Drosophila melanogaster: one gene and its partners. The protein of the gene in region 1 interacts with the protein of each later gene in a pairwise test. Each region holds a gene or a part of one and is shown on either strand. Other genes may lie near its edges.

Region 1 (5,227 bases):
ATTAAAAACGTATCCGTAAAGTCGTTGCGCTTGAGTAATTTAGGAGTCACGTTGGTAGATTTTGTTGAGTATTTGCAGGAAGGTCTGGTGAGGCACCCCGCGTGAGGTTTGTTGTATGTGCGTTTTAATCATGTTGTAGGATTCCTCCTCGAAAATGGCATAGGTGGATGGCAGTCCAAGTTCCTTGTACAGTTCTTTCACTCGCTCCACTTTAGCTGGTTCTGCAGGTTAATATTCAAAAGTCAATGTCTAATTGTGCGGGTTTGCTAAGCTAGTTTTACCTTCTTTGCCATAGCAATCGACCATGATTTGCTTTTGCTCGACATTGGCTCGCTGCATTGCCACCACTGCCAGCCACGAGCACTTGTTGTCCTGAATGTCGGTTCCAATTTTACCAGTCACTTCCGGATTACCGAAGCAGTCGAGGAAATCATCTTGAACCTGGAAAAAGTTGCCCATTTCTAGGAGAATGGTCTTCGATTGACGGAAGGCCTCTGCGTCTTTATAGCTAAACAATAGAGCGGAAGATTAATAAGCGGAATCTTATATATGTATGGCCATTACTTACCCAGCCAAGTGCAAAGCAAGTGCGAATGGAAGGTAGAAGGAGTAATAGGCAGTCTTATTTTCGACAATTGCTTTGTAGTTTTCCATTGTGAATTCCGAGACACAGCGGTTCGAGTTCAGTTGGTCCAACGATTGTCCGCAGGTAGTGATGTATGTGATTTCGTGGAAGAGCTCCATTAGGGCGACATAGCAGTCCAAGTGGCTGAAGTGCTTCTTGAGAATGGCATACATGGCGTTTTCAATCATAAGAGCATCGTTAATGGCAGTCAGGCCCACGTTCTCCACCTTGTGCCAGCAGGGTTGGCCGCGTCTGGTGGTGCTGTTGTCCATCACATCGTCTGAGATGATGAAAAAACTTTGGAGCTGAAAAGATGATCGATAACTTTGTATTAGGAAAACTATTTAATGCATAAAACTCCTACCATTTCCACACACCAGCCCAGATACTGGGCGAGCTTTATGTTCTCCGGCGTAAGATCCTGGGTGGGCACTAGATTCTTATACGTGAGCACGGTGAGGATGCCGCGGTTCTTCTTGCCCCTGGGCACATTGTACTGGAGGACTTGGGCGAACCATTTGGCTGCGTCGCTGCAATTGTATGCCTTCGTCACGGTGGTGATGTCACGCACAAGATCTGCACATCGAAATATAATTAGCATTAGTATTTGCATGATAATTGTTACTGGGCATAAATAAACAAATCTCACCTGGGAACACGGCCATAAAGTCGCGACTCTCATCTTTCGACACCGTGACGCGAGCGGCAATGGGAACCGAGTGATTTTGGAGCGTCGATAAGGTTCTGTGGACAAAACAAAAGTCAAGAACAATAGAGCCCATAACTGACACCACCAGGCAGGCACAAATACATACACACACACATGCACGCATCTATGGTCTACGTGACTGCATAAGCGGCTCGATACAAACTTTCTCCCCCACTTGAAATCAAGAAAAAAAGACCCCGAAACTCCTTTTCGAAAATCACGCCCAAAACAGGCCTCCGATACATGCATACCATGCCCATGCCCATACCGGTCGAAATGTAAACAAAACAAACAGGCAAGGCAAAGGTCAAGTGCGAAAACCGGTAGATTGATTACCTGCTAGTCTTCTTCAGCTTCTGTTCGTTGACCAGTTCGGTGGGGAGGCCGCCAATGGTGTCCATGGACTTGATGATGGGCTCTGCGTTGACCTCGTCGCTGGTAGAGATCAGGCGTTGCAGGCGCAGCGGGCTGGCCAGGATCCGCTGCTGCGGCAGGAGCATACGGGCCAGTTTAAACATTTTTATTTAAGATTATCGGCAGGTAACTATCCGCTTCACAAAACGGCAATTCAACTTCGGGTACCAAATTGCCAGTGTGACTGAATCTCGGTTCGCAAAAGAACCCACCTTAAAATTTCAAATAACCATAATACGTTTATAGCAACTATTTTATAGCTGACTTTTATTTTTCGAGAATTTTGTGAAGGTAACTTATAAGTTAAATTTTTAAACATTTTTATTTAGTAAATTCAGGAACAGCAAATGATTTACTTTTGCTGAAATTATTAATTTTATTGCGTGTTAATTAATTAAATGCATTACTATATATAAATCAAAATGCTGACGAATTTAAACATGATGCAAATTGTCGAATATATTTCGATATCAATATCTTCAAATTATATTTGACACTCTGCTGCTACATTTTCGGTCACACTGTTTCGATGTCCCATGAACAGTGTTGGAAATGGCCTGACATACACCAAAGGCAAATTGGCAGCTGAAAACACGAATTAAACTAAAATGATGGATGAGCAGCTAATTGACGAGGTAGCGCAGCACGGAGTGATCTACAACCGGCAGAAGTACTACCTCAACGGCGGCGCCAATGGTGGCAAGTACGAGACGAAGGACGAGGCCTGGCAGCTGATTGCGATGAAGCTGCGCACGGATGGTGAGGAAGACGCGCTCCTCCGGCAGATCCTCTATATAAATGTTGCCCTCCTTTCCAGTGGACACGTGCAAGAAGCGGTGGAAGTACCTACGCGAACGCTACGTGTCGCAGCGGAAGCAGGGCGATCCACCTGTCTACGAACACCTGTCGCGTCCATACCTGGAGAAAATGAAGTTCTTGGACCAGCACATCCAGCCGCGCAAGTCCTACCGCCATGTGCCGAACTTCCTAACATCTCCACAGTCCGCCAACAGCTCCGGCTACAACGAATACCAGGTTGATAAGTCCAATGGCTCCATGAAGAATGTGTCTCAGTTTGGCAGCTCAGGGCAAAGTCATCTTTACCACCAGCCGGATCAGCAACACGCAATGAGTGCTCTGAGTAACGTTGCTGCATCTGCGCTGGAAAACGTCAATGGCCAGGTGAAGATCGAGGCGGACCAGGTGTTCAGGGATTTTGCGGCTGCCGTGGCCTCACAGCAGCTCCAGCACATATCACAGTCACAAATGCAGCAACAGGCGGCGGCCGTTGCAGCTGTAATGGCTGATTCCTCGCAAGGTTATCAGGATCAATACAAGGATGGCTCCGTGGGCATGAACGGGGCCCAGAACAGCGCTGGCAGTCTGACCTCAACATCATCCTCGATGAAATCACCGCTGTCGTCGCCGCTGCAAGGAATTGGGGCAGGATCCCATCATCCTCAGCAGCAGACGCAACAACAACAGCAGCAGCAGCAGCAACAAGCGCAGCAACAGTCGCCGGCATCTGAACAGCAGCTTCCGGTGGTACATTCCTCTTCCAGCGCCACGGGCGCTTCCATCGGCAACAGTTCCACTCTGCAGATGCAACAGTCACATGTCTATAACCCCAAGGGCGATGGTCTAGACTCTTCGTCATCGAGCCATTTCCATATGAAGAAACCCCGTATTCAACTAAATGGCAATGCCCATAACCAGATGACCAGCAATGGTAGTCACTTTGGCAATGACTCGGACGACGAATCCGATGAGAACAGCCATGATCTGATGGAGCCGCAGGCTATGATGCAGCAGGAGAATCACTACAGCAATTCGATGCCCATGCAGCGGGGCAATGGAAATGGGAATAACAGTAGCAGCAATAGCGGGAGCAACAATCCCAGCGGCAATAATAGCCACAACAACCAGCAGCAGCAACAGCACCAGAACATGTTTCCGTCAAACACGGACTTCCTTTTCCAGTTATACCAGCAGTTCCCACATCAGGCCAGCAGTTCGCATCCCGCAAACTTCGGGAAATTCCAGGCGCCGCCCAATCATCCGGGTGTGCAGCGGTTGTCTGAGCATTTGCTGGGAGAATTAGTCACCACGGAACTGCTGAAAATGAACAAGGAACGGAAGAAAAGTGCACAGAAACGGATCCTAGAAATACTATTCTTCGACGATTAAAGGGCTAGCTACTAGGTATTTGTAAATAATGTAATCTATTATCCTTAACTTATGTTATTCGTTAGACGGTTGTCAGATAATAGTAATTGCATCGCTTTGGTCAAATTTCCCACCAATGAGTCATTTGCAAAGCTCTACGTTCTACCGAACACTTTTCAAATGTGCTAGTCAAGACCAGCAATTGGGATTCCATATCTGCATTAATTTATGTTTTTTTATATATGTTTAAGAATATAATGATCGGTTTTAATTTATTTAAATTCTTATTAAAGTGTACTCAATGGAAAAGTGTCTTTCCAATGTGAAAATTTGCAATTTATGTGTATTTGGGCATTTTTGTTAAAAGGGGTCAGGAATGGATGCTACGATGCTTTGTGGTAAGTTTTCTCTGGATGTGATCCATTTTCGCATGCTGATAGTGGAATTTTCGGCACGAAAGTTTACAACCGCATATGCGAAAGTAGTGTAGTCATCATAAAGAAAGTAGTTCCTAATGATATGTAAAGCTTCGTGACCCACTGAGGTCCAATTTCAGTTATGTTCAGTAGCCGTCCTGCTGCTTGATTTATGAGTGGCCTTTGACCAACCCTCCGATTACCCACAAAGCGGGATGCAATTGCAACTACTAAGACCCGCTGGCTACTGTCTGCAACGGAAACTGCCACTGCAACTGGCAATTGGCCTAGCTCGTTAACCCTCGACTGGCCAAGCGGCCATTCAAAGTGCCACTGCAATTGCAATCCTGTACGTTGATTAATGACCGATCAGCTTTGCATTCCTCTGGGCAGAACGAAAGTCTGTGGTGATATGAATATGTTTAGGCTTTATTGCGTTTCATATCTTAGCTGGTAGAGAGAATAATTACTTGCTTGTGTTTTCTGTTGTTAGGCTTAGATAAATAAGATCATAATATTTGGATACTGGTCAGTGGTGCAATTCTTAGGCTACTTAATGGACCACCGAATATTCGAGGGTCCCACGCATTTGGCTAGCGTATGTGTTTACTTGTCGGATTGTCTTTGATTAACTGAAGTTAAAAACCTTTAGCTTATTTACAACTAATCACAGGAGGCTTGGAGTTGCAATCTCAGACCTCCTGATTGTCCTCGGACTCGGCCACCATGGTCAGACTTCGCAGCGATCTGTGAACGAAACAAAACACGACCAAGCGTTAATCAGCTAGCTTAATATTATTATTCCAAATATTTCGTAAGAGAGCCGGCGGAGTGATGAGTTCAGATTCATTTGACTGATATGGTTTGGTTTATCGCCTTCGCAGCCAGCCATCCAGC
Region 2 (4,492 bases), on another chromosome or scaffold:
AGTGCAGCGCAAAAAAAGCTCTCAGCTGAGGCAACAGGTGCCAAAGGCCCGGCTGCGACTTCCGTTTGTTATCAGGCCGAGAGAGCGAGCTTTCCGGCTAATCCGCATAGAACTCCGGACGACAGTGAAGTAAGTCAGTGGAACGGAGAGGCGCTGGACGCCCAGACACCTATATATAAATTAATTGCCGCACAGAATATTCGTGGCAGTTTCGTTTAAGCTTGAGCCGTGCTTAACGGGTTTTTTTTCGGGGCTAAGAACACTGGTTGTGCACACAGAAAATGTTGAAAATCGTATTCGTAGTCGCGGTTCTGTCGCTAGTGAAGTGTGCACAATCCCAAATTGCTTGTGAGTTGATTGAACAAATGTGACGAAAAGAGTAATAAGTCAAATATAATATGAAAAATAAAATAATTATAGTTCCTAAATTAGGATTCCTGGGAACTACCTTTTAACTTTTAACTTGTGTTTAATATTCCATTCATTTTTGCAGTCCTTAATATTTTAGGTTAGTTTATATCAATTAAGAAAGCATGATCTTTTAGCATTGTGGATTTATATGCTAAATTCACTGGATAAATCTAACATCTAATGTTCCAATTGCAACAGTTTATGCTTCCCTATTTGATAAGAACTCAACCTACAAATATTTCAAGATTCTATCAAAACTTGTATAATCATAAAACGTGCATAAGGAAAAGTTTACTAGATTATGAGAAATATAAATAAATGCGTTCTGCTTATATTAACTAATTATTTTCAACACTCCTTATCATGAACTCACGCAAATTGAAATTCCTCTGACTCCCATGACAGTTAGCAACCAGCCATGCTCGGTTCGAAATCCAAAAATCGTGGGAGGTAGTGAGGCGGAGCGCAACGAAATGCCCTACATGGTCAGTCTGATGCGTCGTGGTGGTCACTTTTGTGGCGGCACTATCATCTCGGAGCGATGGATCCTCACGGCGGGACATTGCATCTGCAATGGGCTGCAGCAGTTCATGAAACCAGCTCAAATCCAAGGAGTTGTGGGTTTGCATAGCATCAGGGAGTACCTCAACGGGATTGGCAACGGTCCGGATGCACTGAGGGTGGACTTCAAGAACATTGTGCCCCATCCGCAATACGACTGCAACGATGTGAAACACGATATAGGTATGTGTGTTTTTTAAGGGGTAATTGCAGGTTCAATTATTTTCCATATGTACAGAACTGAATCATAAATCAACAATATGACATTAACATGACATTATTTTTCAGTAAAATGAATAAAAAATTTTAATCTAGTAAAACACCATTAAAAATATGCGCTTAGGTTTTAAAAAAACAAACAGAAATACATAGGTAGGAAATAGTTTCAACAAAGGATATTAACATTAACCATAATGAATCAGAGACGAATCAAATAATACTTATTATTCTTAGTATTCCTTAAGCTATTGCAAATTGGTATTTTATTCTTTTACAGCCCTCCTGGAGCTGGTACAGCCAATCCGATTCTCTTCACACATCCAGCCCAGCTGCGTGGGATCCGAGGAGGGGCACCGAAGTCTGGAGCAGGAGTACGGAACAGTTTCCGGTTGGGGCTGGACGCACGAGAACCAAGCGGAAAACGATCGATCCGATGTACTGCGCAAGGCTACCGTTAAGATCTGGAACAACGAGGCGTGCGAGAGGTCCTACCGATCCTTGGGCAAGAGCAATACCATTGGAGAGACACAGTTGTGTGCCGGTTATGAAAACGGTCAAATCGACTCGTGTTGGGTGAGTATTCACTTGGCTGATACGGCACACATGTTATGCTCCGGGTTTACTTACCTTCACAGGCGGATTCTGGCGGTCCGCTGATGTCCAAGGAGCATCATCTGGTGGGCGTGGTGTCCACGGGGATCGGCTGTGCACGTCCAGGTTTGCCCGGAATCTACACGCGCGTCAGTAAATACGTGTCCTGGATGCAGAAAGTGATAGACGGCAGGAAATAGTTGGCCAGGAATCTGAAACATAAAGATTGTGATTCACCTGTGATATTAGTCGTACTCGATTATGTGATCTTCTTCAATAAACGTTACTTTAACCAACTAGAAATTCAATTTATTGCGGCCGGTCGTCATTTTTTAAACTTTAATCGATGATTGTGCCAATCGATATCGTTGGACTAATTTGTGGTATTTTGCAGAAAAGATTACTCTGACAATATTAATCGACAAGAATATCGCTAGTGTAGGAGGAACGGAGGAACGATGGAATTTTGAATAATTTATTCTTTCATTATTGAATTCAAAAAAATGCAATAACGTTTAAAAAAATATCTAACTACCTATGTACGACTTAAGTTCATAGGACTCAAGAAAGTATATGAAATATGCACTTGAAAACTTGGCTCCCCACGCTTACTGTCCCACCTGCTGCCCCGCCCGACCGACTGTCACCCGTGGCCCAACGAATGTCTTGACGTCTGCCCCGCCGTTTCCCTAAAGAAATGTCCTTAAAAGTGGTCACGCTCTACGAGTGGAGAAATTCCCGAAAATGTGGGAATAGTTAGTAAGATCTTTATTTTATTTTTTGCAATTCACCTCCAAATAACGAAAAGAAATAAATAAATAAAAAACGTCCCCATGTTTTGATTTCCACCGTTCCGTCATCGCCGCGAACTCATCGACGCTAATTTAACGCACATACAATAATCGCTTTATACTTAGTATTTTAAAAATACTTATAAGTAGCACTTACCGTCCGCGGTATTTTTTGTTTCGCAGCAATTGGTATTCAATTAAATGCCATAAACAAACACAAAAAATGGAAATGGACGCAGACCTAACAAAGTAAATATTTATATTACAATCCGATATATTTTTAATTAATTTGATGCTCTCACGTTAGTCAGGCGATTGCCGAGCTAATGCGCGAGATCGAAGGTGCAAATGCCAGTGTCAGCACCTCGAAACAAAGCGAACGCAAAGTGAATCCTCTGGGCAAACTAAACAAACGCTTCTTAGGCCGCACCATAAACACCGCGATTCGGCATAATGATAGAGAAAAGGAGCGCACACAGGCAAATTGCCGACAGAAGCTGCAGGATCTGGATGATGTGCACGAAAGGAGGAAGTCCAACTACTTTTACAGCCGCGATGCACCCAGAACTCAAAGTGTTGATAGAAGCAGAAGTTCCAGCAGAAGGCGCAGCAGGAGCCGCCACAAAAAGGCCAAGAAGCATCGCAGCCGAAGAAGAACTAGGAGCAGCAGAAGTTCAAGCCGCAGTCGAAGTCGCAGCAGTTCACATCGGCGAAAAAAGCGCAAAAAGAAGGTTAAAAAACACAAAAAATCACACAGAAGACGAAGAAGCAGCCAGAGCAGCAGCGGTTGCGATTGGGAATCCGCACCCAGCGAGTCGTTACGTATACCCCCGCCTTCAGATGTGTTCCTAAACCACTCCAAGCAAATGGCTCTTGCAGTGGCCATGGCCTATGGTCAATTACTAAACCCGAGCAGCCAAAAGAAAGCCAGCGAGTCTAAGGAACACTCCTCCTCTCCTATAAGCGATATATTCCGGGAACTTATGTCCGACGAAGAGGTGGACAAATCCGAGAAGCCCGAGGCCCTGTCCATTTCATCCAGCGACGAAGAGCCAAATGTTCTCACCATTAAAGTAAGCTCGAGCTCCGAGTCCAGCGGCAATAAATCAAGCTCGGACTCAGATTCAGAAGCAAAGAACAGCGTACGCAGCTGTATAACCCTAGAATCTGGTGATAATAGTGATATTGAGATAATTGAGTACCATGAAGAGCCCAAAAAAAAGGCATGTGAAACTGAACCTGCGTCTGAACCTGAATATCCGTCTCAATCGGATAGCACAAATCAACAAGTGGACGATAGCACAGCTGTCACTACAGTGGACCTGACCGAGGATTAATTAGGCTAAACTTTAGTTAGAGAATCGTTATGTAAGATCAGAATGAAATTTTAAAGGAAACAAACTGAAGTTGAACCAAACTAAGAATATTGTTTTTATATTATTATTACAGATATAAGCTCTGCCATAGATAGATTCATATTTGGTTGGTTTTTTTTTAAGTTATGTTTAATAGTAATATACTAAATATACCACCGAATGATACCCTGTTGTGTCTGTTTATAATATCAACTTTGGGTTCATTTTTTTATTTAAATTATAAAATAAAAATGCAAAATTTGAAATGTTAATAATACTTATTAGTTTTAGTAAGTAATAAAAACCACGTGCCAGAGCTCTTGCCATAGTTGATATGCCTCTCGTGTACGGCAACAAACTGTTGCTCTCTCTCTCTCTCTATGACCGATTTTCTCTCAGCACCTGCCCGAACAGCTGATTCTTTATTTACCACTCAATTTTCGATGGAAAACGCCAGCGCGAAGACAATTAGAAATCGCTAAGTTAAATAAATAGAGATCCGTTGTCGCAAGATGTTCGGGAACCTGAAAAAGAAGCTTAGCAGTGCGATCCAGGAGGGCCTGG
Region 3 (5,567 bases), on another chromosome or scaffold:
TATCGTTAATAATCGATCGATACTATTTATTTACCACCACAAATCAAAAACCCACACACAAAACACCCCACCCAAGCGATAAAGCAAAGAGCAAATGAGTATGAAATCAAAACGATGCGAAACGAAATGAAAACACTGTTAAATGTCCTTGACTTATTGTTTTTGCAAACATTTTAGCTGTAAGTAGGCAATCCTCGGCGCAGATCCTAAATCATCCTGAGAAAATCAATCGGCAAACTCCCGGAGAACACAGACGACTGTTACTGTATATTATCATGGAATTGAATTGCATAATTTATTGAGGTGCGGCGGCGAGTTCAAGCCCTTTGATATAATATATATCGTACTTTGTATATAGAAGAAGCATTATAGTGACTGAATATCTTATTGTAATTGTGTATATAATACTTAATAGTTAACTGCGTATTTATACTTAATATTTAATGAAATATAAAGAAATTGTTTGATAAATGAATGTGTGTTATTGCTGCATTTCAGGTTATTCAAATGAGCGCTATAGTATCGTTGTAAAATTTTGACTATTTGAAATTCTCCCGCCAAGCGCCTTGCTGAAATACGGGCACATCAATGGCAGAGCAGCCAGCCTTGAAATACTAAAATGCATTCTCTCAACCGCATGGCCACACTGAAAATATCGATAACAAATCGGCTAGACTTGTTGATGTTTCCTAGTAGGAAATTCCTCCGCTTCCAATTTTAGTTATTTGTCTTCAAATGTTTTTTTGTTTCATATTCTAAACTGGTTGCTTGGAAAGATTGCTAGATTGTCCATCATTCCGAATCGTGCCTAATCAGGTGTCCGGCTGCCACGCTCCGAATTGCCTTGAAATTCAACATGAATGTTTGTCGCCTGTGCTTGTCGAAGGAACCCAATTTCCCCGTTTTCGGTGCAAATGGATCGACTGCTCTGCAGATAATGGTCTGCACATCGCTGGAGATCGAGCCCGGCGACGGTCTGCCACAGCACATATGCACCATGTGTCGGCTGCAACTGGAGGAGATGCACTGCTTCCGACGACGCTGCCTCGCAGCCGATCGCAAATTGAGGCGCCACAAGGCGTTGCAGCGGCAGGGTGTCAAGTCGCAGCTGAGTGAAGTGGAGGAGGAGCGGGGCTCCGGGGAAGGATGCACGCAAACTGGCTGCGCCGAGAACAATGCCCAGTGGCGCCAGCAGGCCGCCCAGCTCATTAGCAGCGAGATCGACGCGTATAAAAAGGAGCTGCTCAGCACTTGCAAGCAAGCTGTGCGGGCGGAAATCGAGCTGGAGCTGCGGGCGGAACTCGAAGAGGTCATCATACCCGAAGCCAAGCAGCAGTTGCGACTGAGCGTTCTGGACGACGTGTTTGTCGAACTGGAACGGTACTTTGTGCGCAAGCGCAATGAGGCGACCTATGAGATGAAGATGAACTTAAGCAGTCCGCTGCCTGACGAACAGACCGCTGGCTTCTACGAAACAGACATGGGCCAGGAGCTAAGGGAGCAGAGCGATAACAGCGTGGTGGAGTTACTGGGTAAGACCAGCCCACTTACTTTGCAATTGCACGACTTATATATTTCTCAAATGTAATAGACGATGAACCAGAAGCCAGCAGACAGCCAGCTGCAACGCCACTAGTTGCTGTGCCCATGGTTGAGATCAACATGAACGACCCGCAGCTGAGTCATCTGCGCAACGACTATAGCAAGGACACCTTTCTGGGTGCCAACACAACTGCCTTAGAGGATGTAAAAACCCCATCGCCGTGTCGAAAGAAAGTGCGCTTTATGAGCCCCAAGCAGACGACCGATAACCTGTGCCGAAAGCACAGTTCCTTCAAGACAAAATGCAGCAGTTCGTACGCCGATTTCAAAAGTTGTGTGCGCTGTCGTCTAAGAGGAGCGGATAAGCTAAATAACACCGTGACGTAGCCACGTAACAACGAATTTAGTTTAATCCTCTATATTATAAGAATAGTACCTTTTTTTGTGCACGCATATTTGACTAAGCCATCACCTATTTTAATTGTCATTGTATTCTATTAAACTTTAAATATGCACATTCGGTATGCATTGGATTTGTATGAAAATCAATACCTTTAAACCTTACATTAATAAATTAAGTTATGATACGTTTATGGGCCGTATATATCAAATTGTTTATTTACGAACAGTGTGACTGTATTGCTTTCGTTTCGAGAGGAGGTATTTTTAGCGAACCTGTCTGCGGTCACATTGCTTGCGATGCAGAGACGCCACCGAGTAAATACGTTGATTTACCAAAAATAGACGCCTTCATGGATGCACAGCCGTCGTATCCCGATTTGGCGACCCTGTGCCGCCTTTGCCTCAAGGAGCACCAGGATGCGTACGCGATCTTCGACGAGGACGACACCCAGCTCTCGATACCCGTGCGCCTGATGGCCTGCGTCGCACTGGACGCCAAGGCGACGGATACTCTGCCGAAGAGGATCTGCCAGGAGTGCCGCTATCAGCTGGAGAAGTCATTCCTGTTCCGGCAGCGCTGCCAATGGGCGGAGAAGAAGCTTCGCAAGCATATCCGACTTCTGGGTCTCGGGAAGCGAAGCCGCGTCTTCTCCAAGGATCCGGACGATTATGACGAGGACGAGCTGGAGTTCGAGGACTCTATTGCCTTCATCGAGGTGCAGGACAAAGTGCGCAAGCTTGAGGACGAAAAGTGGCGAGAAGATTTTAAGGAAGAACAGGCGGCGGAAATGCACAAACGGCTGGTCAAATCTCGTCTAGAACTTCGAGCGAAACTGACCACCGAACTGCGCAAGGAACTAGCGGAGGAGGTGCGCAGTGAGGTTCGCAAGGAGCTGGCCGAGGAGGTGCGCAGCCAGGTTAGAGATGACCTGCGAAACGAGGTGAGCGAGGACATAAGAAAAGAGCAGCTGGCCATGCTGTTGGGCGAATTGGAGGTGTATCTTACCGAGAAAAAGGCCGGTCGGTGGGAGTCTTTGGATGGGTCCGAACCAGAGACCAAGCCGCAAGTCAAGGAAGATGCCTCCCCTTCTAGGTCAAAAACTAAAGCTCTTCCAAAGCGACGACCCAGCTTGGTCGACGCCAATCTAAAGGCGACAGAGGCCAGGAAGGATGCAAAAGAAGAGGAATTCATATTGGGCTGCAATACCGACCCCGCAAATAATAGCGATGTAAACATAGATGGCCTCGAACTGGACGAGGAAGTGCCCGCGGAAAGCGGTGAAGACTTCAGGGAAATCAACATGGTTGGATCAGATGTAGTGCACACAGACAATGGAGAGATTTACATCATAAACTCTGCCAGCTCAGAGGATCAAAACCAGGACTCCACTCCCGAATTTGACCAGGACAACGGAATCACCTCCTATAACAGTAAGTGGGTATAATTTGGCAAAAAAAATGTGAAAAAATTTTCATTTCATTAAATTCTTTGCTTAGTCAAAGAAGACGGCGAAATTCAGTTCAGTGGCGAAAAGCCAGAGGAAATCGAAGACGTGGTCGTGTTTAATCTGGGCGAGGAGATATCTCAGGAGCAACAGGTCTTCAGCTTCCATGAAAATGTCATTATAGTGGTAACTAACCGTGTGATTTTAAATTGAACTCGAATTCAACTTGGATCTTATTATCTGTAGGAAAAAGAACAGAACGATAGAGATGAGCAGACGCCCCTCAAACGAAAGAGATCGAGTGAGTTGGTGTTCAAGCAGGAGTCCAGTTGTCCTCAACCAAAAACCGGTCGAATTACGGACACGGTGAAGTCGTTCCAGTGCCATTTGTGCCCGGTGGCATTTCCTACGCAGAAACTTCTGACGCGCCACCACAACACCCACATTAAGGGACTGAAAAGTGGAAAGGGCGGCACGCTCAAGTGTCCCAGCTGCGCACTGCAACTGTCGTGCGCCAGCTCGCTCAAACGCCACATGATTATCCACACGGGCCTGAAACCCTTCAAGTGCAGCGAGTGCGAACTGTCCTTCTCCCAGCGCGAAGTGCTCAAGCGTCACATGGACACCCATACGGGAGTAAAGCGCCATCAGTGCCCCCAATGCTCGAGCTGCTTTGCCCAGAAGTCCAACCTGCAGCAGCACATTGGCCGCGTGCATATGGGCAACTCTCGGACGCACAAGTGTCATCTGTGTCATCGTAGCTTCAATCATGTTTCGGGCCTCAGTCGCCATCTGGTCACCCACGCTGGCGTCATGTTCTCCTGCAAACAGTGCGGCCGTCAGTTTAACGATCGCAGTGCGGTCCAGAGACATGTAACCACAATGCACAAGGTGAAGAACAAGCTCACAGACTACATATCCGAGACGAACGAGTTTCAAGCTGTGGCCTAGAATAGTCCCTGGACATGTTTTACCAATACACCGCAGATTGGACCACCATGTTTTACACCTGAAGAGACCAACTTTGATTGATCTGAATATTTTACAACTTTATTCGCGAACCTAGAGTGCTCACAACAGTTGGCACCAAAAATCATCAACATGATAGCGTTAAAACATTTAGAAACATGCAGCATTAAACAGTTTAGCAAACAAATACAAATCGGAACATTTGGAACAGCTCTGTAACAAGATACATATAGCTAGACGTACATTTTACAATATCGTTTAATAAATACCACATAAGACGATGTACAATTTTATAGGCAAATATACGTATTTTTAATAAACTCAACTGCTCTACGAATACTTTAAACTTAAGCTAATCGCCAAAAACGGATTCAAAATGCGCCTAAGAGAAAACGAACGATCGTGCCTGCCATTCGAATGCCAAATGCAATGAATAATATTTTCTTGTATAATCGGAAGCGCTTTTCAAATGAGATTACCAAGGGAAACAAGCCCGCAACGACATCCTTAGAGGTCGAAACCGTTTAACATTCCTGGTTAATGCGTTATAAAGCCAATAACAATCCAATATCACGCTATCCTAATAATTGGAACAAATTATTCCATAATATCCAGTAAGGTCCTAACTCTTGCGGCCCTTCTGCCACTGCTAGTCGGAGTTTGTAAGCGAGCTGCGCTGCGATTCGAGTGTATTTGAGTCGTGCCGCTGGCGCAGAACTCGCGTCTGGCTGGCTGGTAACTTGGAGAAGTCCTTCATTACGTTCTTGTACGTCTCATCTTCGCCATTGTACTCGTCGTTGGGTCCAATCTCGTCATTCAGTTGTGTCAATCGGAGTCTGAAACAAGAATGGTTATGTATCTGCCGGATTGAAGCTCTGCTTTCTTACTCACAGCGTTACAATGTCTGCGTTTTCCTGGTCCACTGCAATGTCCAGAGCCTTCTTTCCGTCACTGGAGGAGAGGTCGTATGCAGCTTTATGCTTCAACAGCAAATACACTTGGGCGATGTGACCCTTGGCCGTTGATATGTGCAGGGCGCTGTAGCCCATCTCGTCCACAGCATCGATGGCGGCTCCGTTTAGTAGCAAAAACTCGCAGGCCATCACGGAGCCGGAAATGACGGCCTGGTGCAGAAACGATCGTTGCCGGTCTTGGGGATTTTTCCACATCTTGTCGGCACCCAATGCGAAGGCCATGCACATCACTGGT
Region 4 (6,915 bases), on another chromosome or scaffold:
GACTTTACATACCAAACTAATTCATAGATATGAAAGCAAGCAATCCGCGATTATACAGGGTGCACCGTGTACACTTCCACATTTTAATCGGTCAATTCAGTTATTTGGCTGTATAATATCGCAGTCAGTGATGATGTCTTGGCTTTTTTCTATTTATATTGAGGTTGAATAAGATAAGCAATAAAATAAATTTTTATATTTACCTATGTATTTAAGTTAAAAGAATACCAAATTTATAAGACATTTATCCATCCATTTTATTCATTTTATATATGGATAATCGCTGTGATCACCGATATTTTTCTATTCCGGTGGAAAACATTTATATTTTCGTTTGCGACCGAGAAATTTCATATGATGATAAAATAAACATTTAAAATGTTGTCTTTCATATGTTTTGGCTTACATAAATTGGACTACTGTGGTATTCTTTGAAAGACGTTTTCAGTGAGAATGCATCGAGTGGAACAGTGTGGGAAAGAAACATCTGGGATGGTCTAAATTATATCAAATTCTTCATCCCATCGGAATGAATGGAAAATGCGATATAAAACTAGATATGCCAAACCAAAAGCAGCTGACGCGTACAGCTGAATCGCCTAAAATAGGCGGGGTGATGGTTAACTCTACAAAGGGCCAAGCCCACGTTGGGTTGAGGTACATACCGAAAAGACTGGTTCAAGTATCAATCATGGGATTAATGCTACTTTGTATTAACCCTGACGTCCCCTCTCTTTCTTTAATGACGTAATAAAATTATGATGTGACTCATAACCAAAAAAAATAAGCTTTTGAAGGTCATGTACTATTTACGTGTACTTTATGTCGATGCTTTCAAACAACCAGATCATCGATTAACGCTTCGAACTATGAAGAAAACGGATGGAAAATATGCTGATTACCATCTATACGTGGTAATAGAGATCCCAAAACAGTAGGGTTCCTCTACAGTATGTCTTTTCTTTAAAACGCAGAGAAAATGAATTTAGACATTATATATAAAAGTATTTAAACAAATTATTTATTCATATATGGTAATTCTTAGTTTAGGTTTTCTTGTAAAATAACAATTTCTTAACTTAACTATGGATTAAAATGTCTAAGAAGTTAAATCAATGGAAATTATACGCCCAGTGCCATTGAAAGGCGGAGCCGCGGAAATCGCATCAAACGTACTACTCTCAGTAGTCTGATTTGTAGTGCTTTTTTTCGAATTAGCCGAATGAGCGTACCAGTCTGTGAGTGCGACCAAGTTCTTAGAAAAATTGCAGTTTTCCTGATTGTATTCCTTTCTGTGTCCCTCAGAATCAGCAAAAGTATTCGATGTACTCAGGGAACCAACCAGTGAATGATTGGCTATCGAGTCTACGGTACAGCGACTAATTACTGAATTAGCCTTATAGTTTGAATAAATATATAAAGATTGCTGTAGGGGCTTAACCGAATTATCAACTATTACTGATTCTGGCTCTGGAGCACATTTACTTGGCTCGACGACGCGGCTACTGTACAAATTTCTGTTGTTATGTGTAAGTTTTATTACAGTCAGTGCATCCGAGCCAAGTCTTTTGGGCGAGCCTATTGCTGGCTCTTGTTGCTCATCGTCGTCCGAGGAGCATAAGTCAATTGTATCAACAACAACTTCCTTTGTGGGTGAAATTCTCCAGTGTGAGTTGAGCGAATTGTGGCGCGTTAGTCTTATATTGAGTTTTGTATTTGCAGTGTGATTTTGCTCTTCCATTACGTGTTCGGATATTTTTTTCAATCTGACTGATATTGGACGGCATTGTTTAATCAGCGGAGAGTTCAAAAACAAAAAGTTCTCAGTAGTGTCCCTGCGTTTAACAAATTGACGCCGCGGAAAGGAATATATGTGATAATTGTGTTCATGTGACTTTTTAAATGTACAATGCACTGTAGTGTTTGTTTTTTTTTCAAAATACTTTTGCTTGGTATTTGATTTATTGATCAATGGAGTGTAACAAAAGCGTTCCAGGCGTTCCTGTCTTTCCGCAATATAATCCATTGATATTGTTTGTTTTGTCGATTTTAACAATTGCTGTCCTGCAGGTGATGATATTGGGATAAACGAACACCTACTAAACGAATGAACTGTTCGATTTCTCCGCGATGGTAAACGCCTCTTTCTGTTTGATGTTTCCGTTGATGTTTCTTCGCTGAATGAATATGTTTTCTGTTTCTCTTTAGATAAACTATTATCGGAGAATTTGGGTTGCAGTTTAAAGTTTAAGAGAAAGGCGTTGCGCTGTTCGATATCTTCGTTTTTCCCATCACTTTTGTTATCTGGCTCAGGGGAATCACAAAGTATAACGTCATCCTCCATGCAACAAATGTTTTCGTGTTCCTGTTATGCAATAGAGTTATTAACTATTAACTTTGACAATCTTTGGCAATCAACTTACGAGTATAGCTTCTTTAGAATAAAGTTCGGCATCACAGTTGTCACATAGGTAGATATCAAAAGGTGGTGGCTCAACCATCATATGCTGTACGTTTTCGCTAATGGAACTGTTGTTCTTTTGCAGCAACAAGCACTTTCTGTTCTTTTGTTGTCTATCATATGACTGCAAAATAACCAATTCAGAATTAACTAATTTTAAAACCCAATTATTCAAAGTAGGCTTGGCTTACCATGTTTTCATTTCGAAATGTAACCAACAGTTTGTTGTTTCTCCTGTCATACAATGAAGTTGTTGAGTTATAATTGTTTATGAATCTTAAGCTCGCGTGTTCATACGCAGCTAAATCATTACAAAATCTTAATAGAAATAAGCTTTTGTGAAATTGATAGCATATAACCACAATTTCTTTCATTTTTTCCATCCAATTCTGTAAAATAGATACAGGTATATATTAGCCATTTATGGGGGTGAATGTTAAATATAAGCCATAGAAATCAAAAGGTAAGGGAAAAAAGCTTACCCCAACAAATGCTTTCGGCTTTTTGAGCGGAATCTCGAAAGGAGCGCTTTCGGGCCACCATTCTGGTTCACTGCAATCTATTTTCTTTGGTAAGTTTATGTGTCCTAAAGAGCATTGCACCATGAAGGGAATAAAATTTTCTAACTGGGACTCCGTAATTTTTTCTAGGGATGTTGGATATCCGTTCGCAAACAAAAGTGGTAGGTTGGATATCATGTTGTGTTGAGCTTTATCTTTTTCATCCATTGTCACTGCAAGTGAATTAAAATGTTATATTTTATTGCCATGTTATCGATAGTTTTCCAAGATAACCGATTAAAACGATTACATATGTATAACATATCTACTTAAAAATTTAAAACTACTAAACTTTCCTAAAACCAAACCAAACAAACGATTTCAAATATTTATTAGCAGTTGTGATAAGTAAGGGGCGCAGTATATGGATCTAGCTGTGTCCGTATGTCTGTCCGTCCTCATGAACGTCGAGATCAATAGAGAATACTGAGGGTGATGAGTAAACTCAATTAGGTACCGTGTAATAGTTGTTCTATAGTCCTTGAAAAGTATATAATGATCATCTGCCTGTCCGTCCTGATGAAGGCCAGTTACTCGTAAAAATATGAAACTAACAAGTCTTTACAGCCTTGATCCGGATTACTAGCCATGTCGATACAGCCATAACTGACTGTAAGTCCGTATTTGTTCGTATAATCGTAAAGCCCTCAGGTACTATTAAAGCTACCCTGGAATTGAATTGCCACGTACATTGTGACACCTAGGGATCAAGGTCTAGAATACATAACTGTTTACGTCCTTTTTGTTCTAGAAATCTCTAGTTTAGTGACCGCAAACATTACTTTTTTGCAGGACCATTTTATGAACGGTCACATTAAAAAATGGCGAGTGATAACCACAAAATGGCGAAGATACAGACTGTCAAGTCCGTGGGGACAATCGATAAAGGTATCGATGATTTTTTTTTGCAAAATTACAATCCTTGAAATGTACCTTTATTAGGTACTATATATCGTATACACATTGTACCAATAAAGTACAGCAATATGATTAAACTTTTTTTTTTATAAAATACTTGTTTTGCCAAAGGCGTTGCCACTTTGGTTTAGAACCAAAGCTAGTGGTTACGCCTAGCGATTTCATGAAATTGACATGAAGTGGAATGTTCCCACTTACAGGTTTGTGCGATATCGCTTCGCGAATGCTAACTATGCAGTTTATACGAGTTATATATTCTTGTGGCGAGCCACGACCAGCGTTTCACTTTTGCAAAAGGGGCAGCTCATAAACCTTGCGTCTAACTGCAGATTTCCTTACTGAAAAACCACGAATTGCTCTCATATGTGTACATGCACACACACGCACACACACACGAAAAACACACATATGTATTCCAAGGGAAGTGGAATAAGTTTGCAAATAAAATTTTTACTGCATAACTTGGGACATTTTTATACGTAAACACACTCACACAAGCACTTCTAGATAATTATACATAAACACAAATATTCATATGTTAAATGGAGTCATCACAATTATGCTGTGGTATAAATATCCCACCTGATTTAGACGAGTGTATGTAATACACTCAACGAAAATTACTATGTTCAGCATCATTTGAAATATAATTTGAATAGTACACACTTATACGTTAAACTGGTTGATAACGAACATTTCGACACCGATTTTGTATGGCAATACATTAAACTCAGTGCTCTGGAATGCTCAGTGCTCTCTGCATATACATATCACTGAGTGAATCCATTAGAAAGGAGTCTCAAAAACCGATCAAAATAGAATCACCATCAGTACGCACCAAGAATTCGCAATGATTAACAAAACGGTAGACACCGAGATCTACAATCACAAATATGATAACATAGTTACAGTACACAACACTTTCTTCGTAAAAAAACCATTTGTTGTAGTTGCTATCGAATAGTCGAAGTGAGAACTGACTGCTAAATGGCTGAAATAATTGTGACAAATACTACCCAGTCTTCAAATTGAAACGCGGAAATGGAACAAAATGTGATGTTGCACTTTTACTTTGCTCTTAAAAAAGTTTTTTACTGTAAATAAAATACATGTACTGGAATTTTTGTGTAAAATCGACATCGAATTAATTCGATTCCATCAAACACAGCTGACGCAAACATCTGTTAATCTCTTATACAAAGTAAAGGAGAGTTGTATACCTTTAAAAAACTTTAAAACATTTTTTTTATTATGGTATCTTTTTCTAGCTTTTTAGTAGCACACAAGGACGAGGTCCGTGATATAAAAATTTTGTTAAAGAGAAGAAGAAGCATTAAATAGTTAAGTGGAAGATAATATATAAAAAAAGTATCCCTCTGTATCCCTCTTTCATCAAACCTCTTCACGCAACGACGACAATTGTGGTGAACATTTCGTTGCAACCCATCACAAGCAATAAATCAACTGATGACAAGTATACACACATGTTGATCCGCAGGCCTGTGCAAAAGTTCGTCAAACATCGATGAGGTGCCACGTGGAACTTACATTTTGCTACGTTGAGATCAAACTTTTTTTTTATTTCTTTCCGGGCACTAATAAGTGTTTCAATTTATGGACGTTTTGTAAAAATTGCAATAAATTTGTTTATTTACTCGCACATCAAAAAGCAGTTCGTATGAGAATGAGAACGTGTTAAAAATTTGGTTGAAATAAAAATGTCGTGTTTCATTTCCATCGTTTCAGTAGCAATAAAAAACGAATCCGATGGCGTAGATATCGATATACCTGCATTCCCTTTCAAACGTGTTATCGTATTGTTCAGCCAATTGTGCAACGTGTTTGAGTAAATCTGCGGGCGAAAGACTAAAAATGAAAGTAGAGGCATTGGACAAATTCTGGGCTGACAAGAGCCGCTACGATCTTGCCGAGAAGCGATTCTACGAGGGTCCCCAGAAGGTAAAATCTCTAAGCAATCACAGCCATAAGTACTTAAGTTGTTAGCCAGTTTCACGTGGCCGGTAAATCAGTTCAAATGGTTTCGGCAATGTTTATTGCAAATCTGTTTGTTTTAACAGCAAGGACGCCGAAACACACATGTTCTAAACTTCAATACATACGTAGAATGATCTATTAAAAGATTTCTATATTTATCTGCCTTTGATTTTCAATTGCTGTGTTCATATTGCACATTACATTGGTATATTCTTGTAGCTGTATGTAACAGGTGAACGTTTAACACTTTTAAAAAATATAACTATGTGCGTAAAGTGTATACAAAACAGAGTGTGAGAGAAAACTAACTCTGGCAAGCCAAATTTTGAATACACTTTCCGTTTGGCAATTGGTATAAATACAAAATATAGTATGCAAAACATAAGTACTTAACATGACACCTACACAACAAAATTCGTTTATTCAATGGAAATGTGCCAAAAACAAATCGATGTATACAAAGTTAAAACCTATTGAAATTCAGGGAAATACTATAGTTAAGTAAAGGTTTAAACACGTTGTATTCTATCTACACAAATATACTACACAAAATGCATAGCACTGCATTGTATAATATTTAAACTACGTACAATTTTTGGGCTGATTAGAGTGAGGCTTATCAGTATTTCAGCATGCTTGCATGACAACAGACTTGAAGTAGATGCCCGTACATAAAACATCTCATTTTGCTTAAAAATTATTATCCCTAGAATCCTTTGTCAACCATTCGATACACCAAATGTCAGTTCACACAAGTAATCAATGGTGTTGTCTTATTTTTAAAGGTAACTGATCGCAGCCACTACAGCCCATTAGTAAGCGAAATCGCAAAGGCTAGGGAACACATACAGAACTCGCTGGAAAAGGTAACTATTGTGATAAATCTTTGTATTTCAACATTTGATTTGTTCACATTCCTAGGTTTCTTTCGGTTTCTTTAAAACTTTGTAGAGAATTGTATAATTATTATTTACAATATAT

Evidence for each region.
Region 2: the proteins of CG7745 (region 1) and CG14074 interact in a two-hybrid assay, tested with the Drosophila melanogaster proteins (one large-scale study listed by BioGRID).
Region 3: the proteins of CG7745 (region 1) and CG31365 interact in a two-hybrid assay, tested with the Drosophila melanogaster proteins (one large-scale study listed by BioGRID).
Region 4: the proteins of CG7745 (region 1) and ova interact in a two-hybrid assay, tested with the Drosophila melanogaster proteins (one large-scale study listed by BioGRID).

The regions. Positions count from the first base shown.
Region 1 is NT_033778.4:11,305,591-11,310,817, forward strand, and holds CG7745 (uncharacterized protein), read left to right. Parts: upstream 1-2,288; 5' UTR 2,289-2,356; coding exon 2,357-2,507; intron 2,508-2,565; coding exon 2,566-3,935; 3' UTR 3,936-4,239; downstream 4,240-5,227. Other genes in the region: Fpps (farnesyl pyrophosphate synthase), read right to left, coding at 40-221, 282-508, 569-930, 990-1,201, 1,275-1,369, 1,671-1,852; nompA (no mechanoreceptor potential A), read right to left, coding at 5,061-5,077.
Region 2 is NT_037436.4:18,863,440-18,867,931, forward strand, and holds CG14074 (uncharacterized protein), read left to right. Parts: upstream 1-2,785; 5' UTR 2,786-2,822; intron 2,823-2,880; 5' UTR 2,881-2,899; coding exon 2,900-3,910; 3' UTR 3,911-3,992; downstream 3,993-4,492. Other genes in the region: CG6865 (uncharacterized protein), read left to right, coding at 282-348, 817-1,155, 1,469-1,764, 1,827-1,982; Dysb (dysbindin), read left to right, coding at 4,441-4,492.
Region 3 is NT_033777.3:23,123,070-23,128,636, reverse strand, and holds CG31365 (uncharacterized protein), read left to right. Parts: upstream 1-2,214; 5' UTR 2,215-2,294; coding exon 2,295-3,375; intron 3,376-3,441; coding exon 3,442-3,575; intron 3,576-3,635; coding exon 3,636-4,340; 3' UTR 4,341-4,675; downstream 4,676-5,567. Other genes in the region: CG31457 (uncharacterized protein), read left to right, coding at 857-1,532, 1,592-1,929; CenB1A (centaurin beta 1A), read right to left, coding at 5,008-5,194, 5,250-5,567.
Region 4 is NT_033779.5:10,226,762-10,233,676, forward strand, and holds ova (ovaries absent), read right to left. Parts: upstream 4,932-6,915; 5' UTR 4,522-4,931; intron 3,195-4,521; 5' UTR 3,190-3,194; coding exon 2,944-3,189; intron 2,851-2,943; coding exon 2,653-2,850; intron 2,586-2,652; coding exon 2,424-2,585; intron 2,366-2,423; coding exon 1,100-2,365; 3' UTR 999-1,099; downstream 1-998. Other genes in the region: eEF1delta (eukaryotic translation elongation factor 1 delta), read left to right, coding at 5,812-5,898, 6,720-6,800.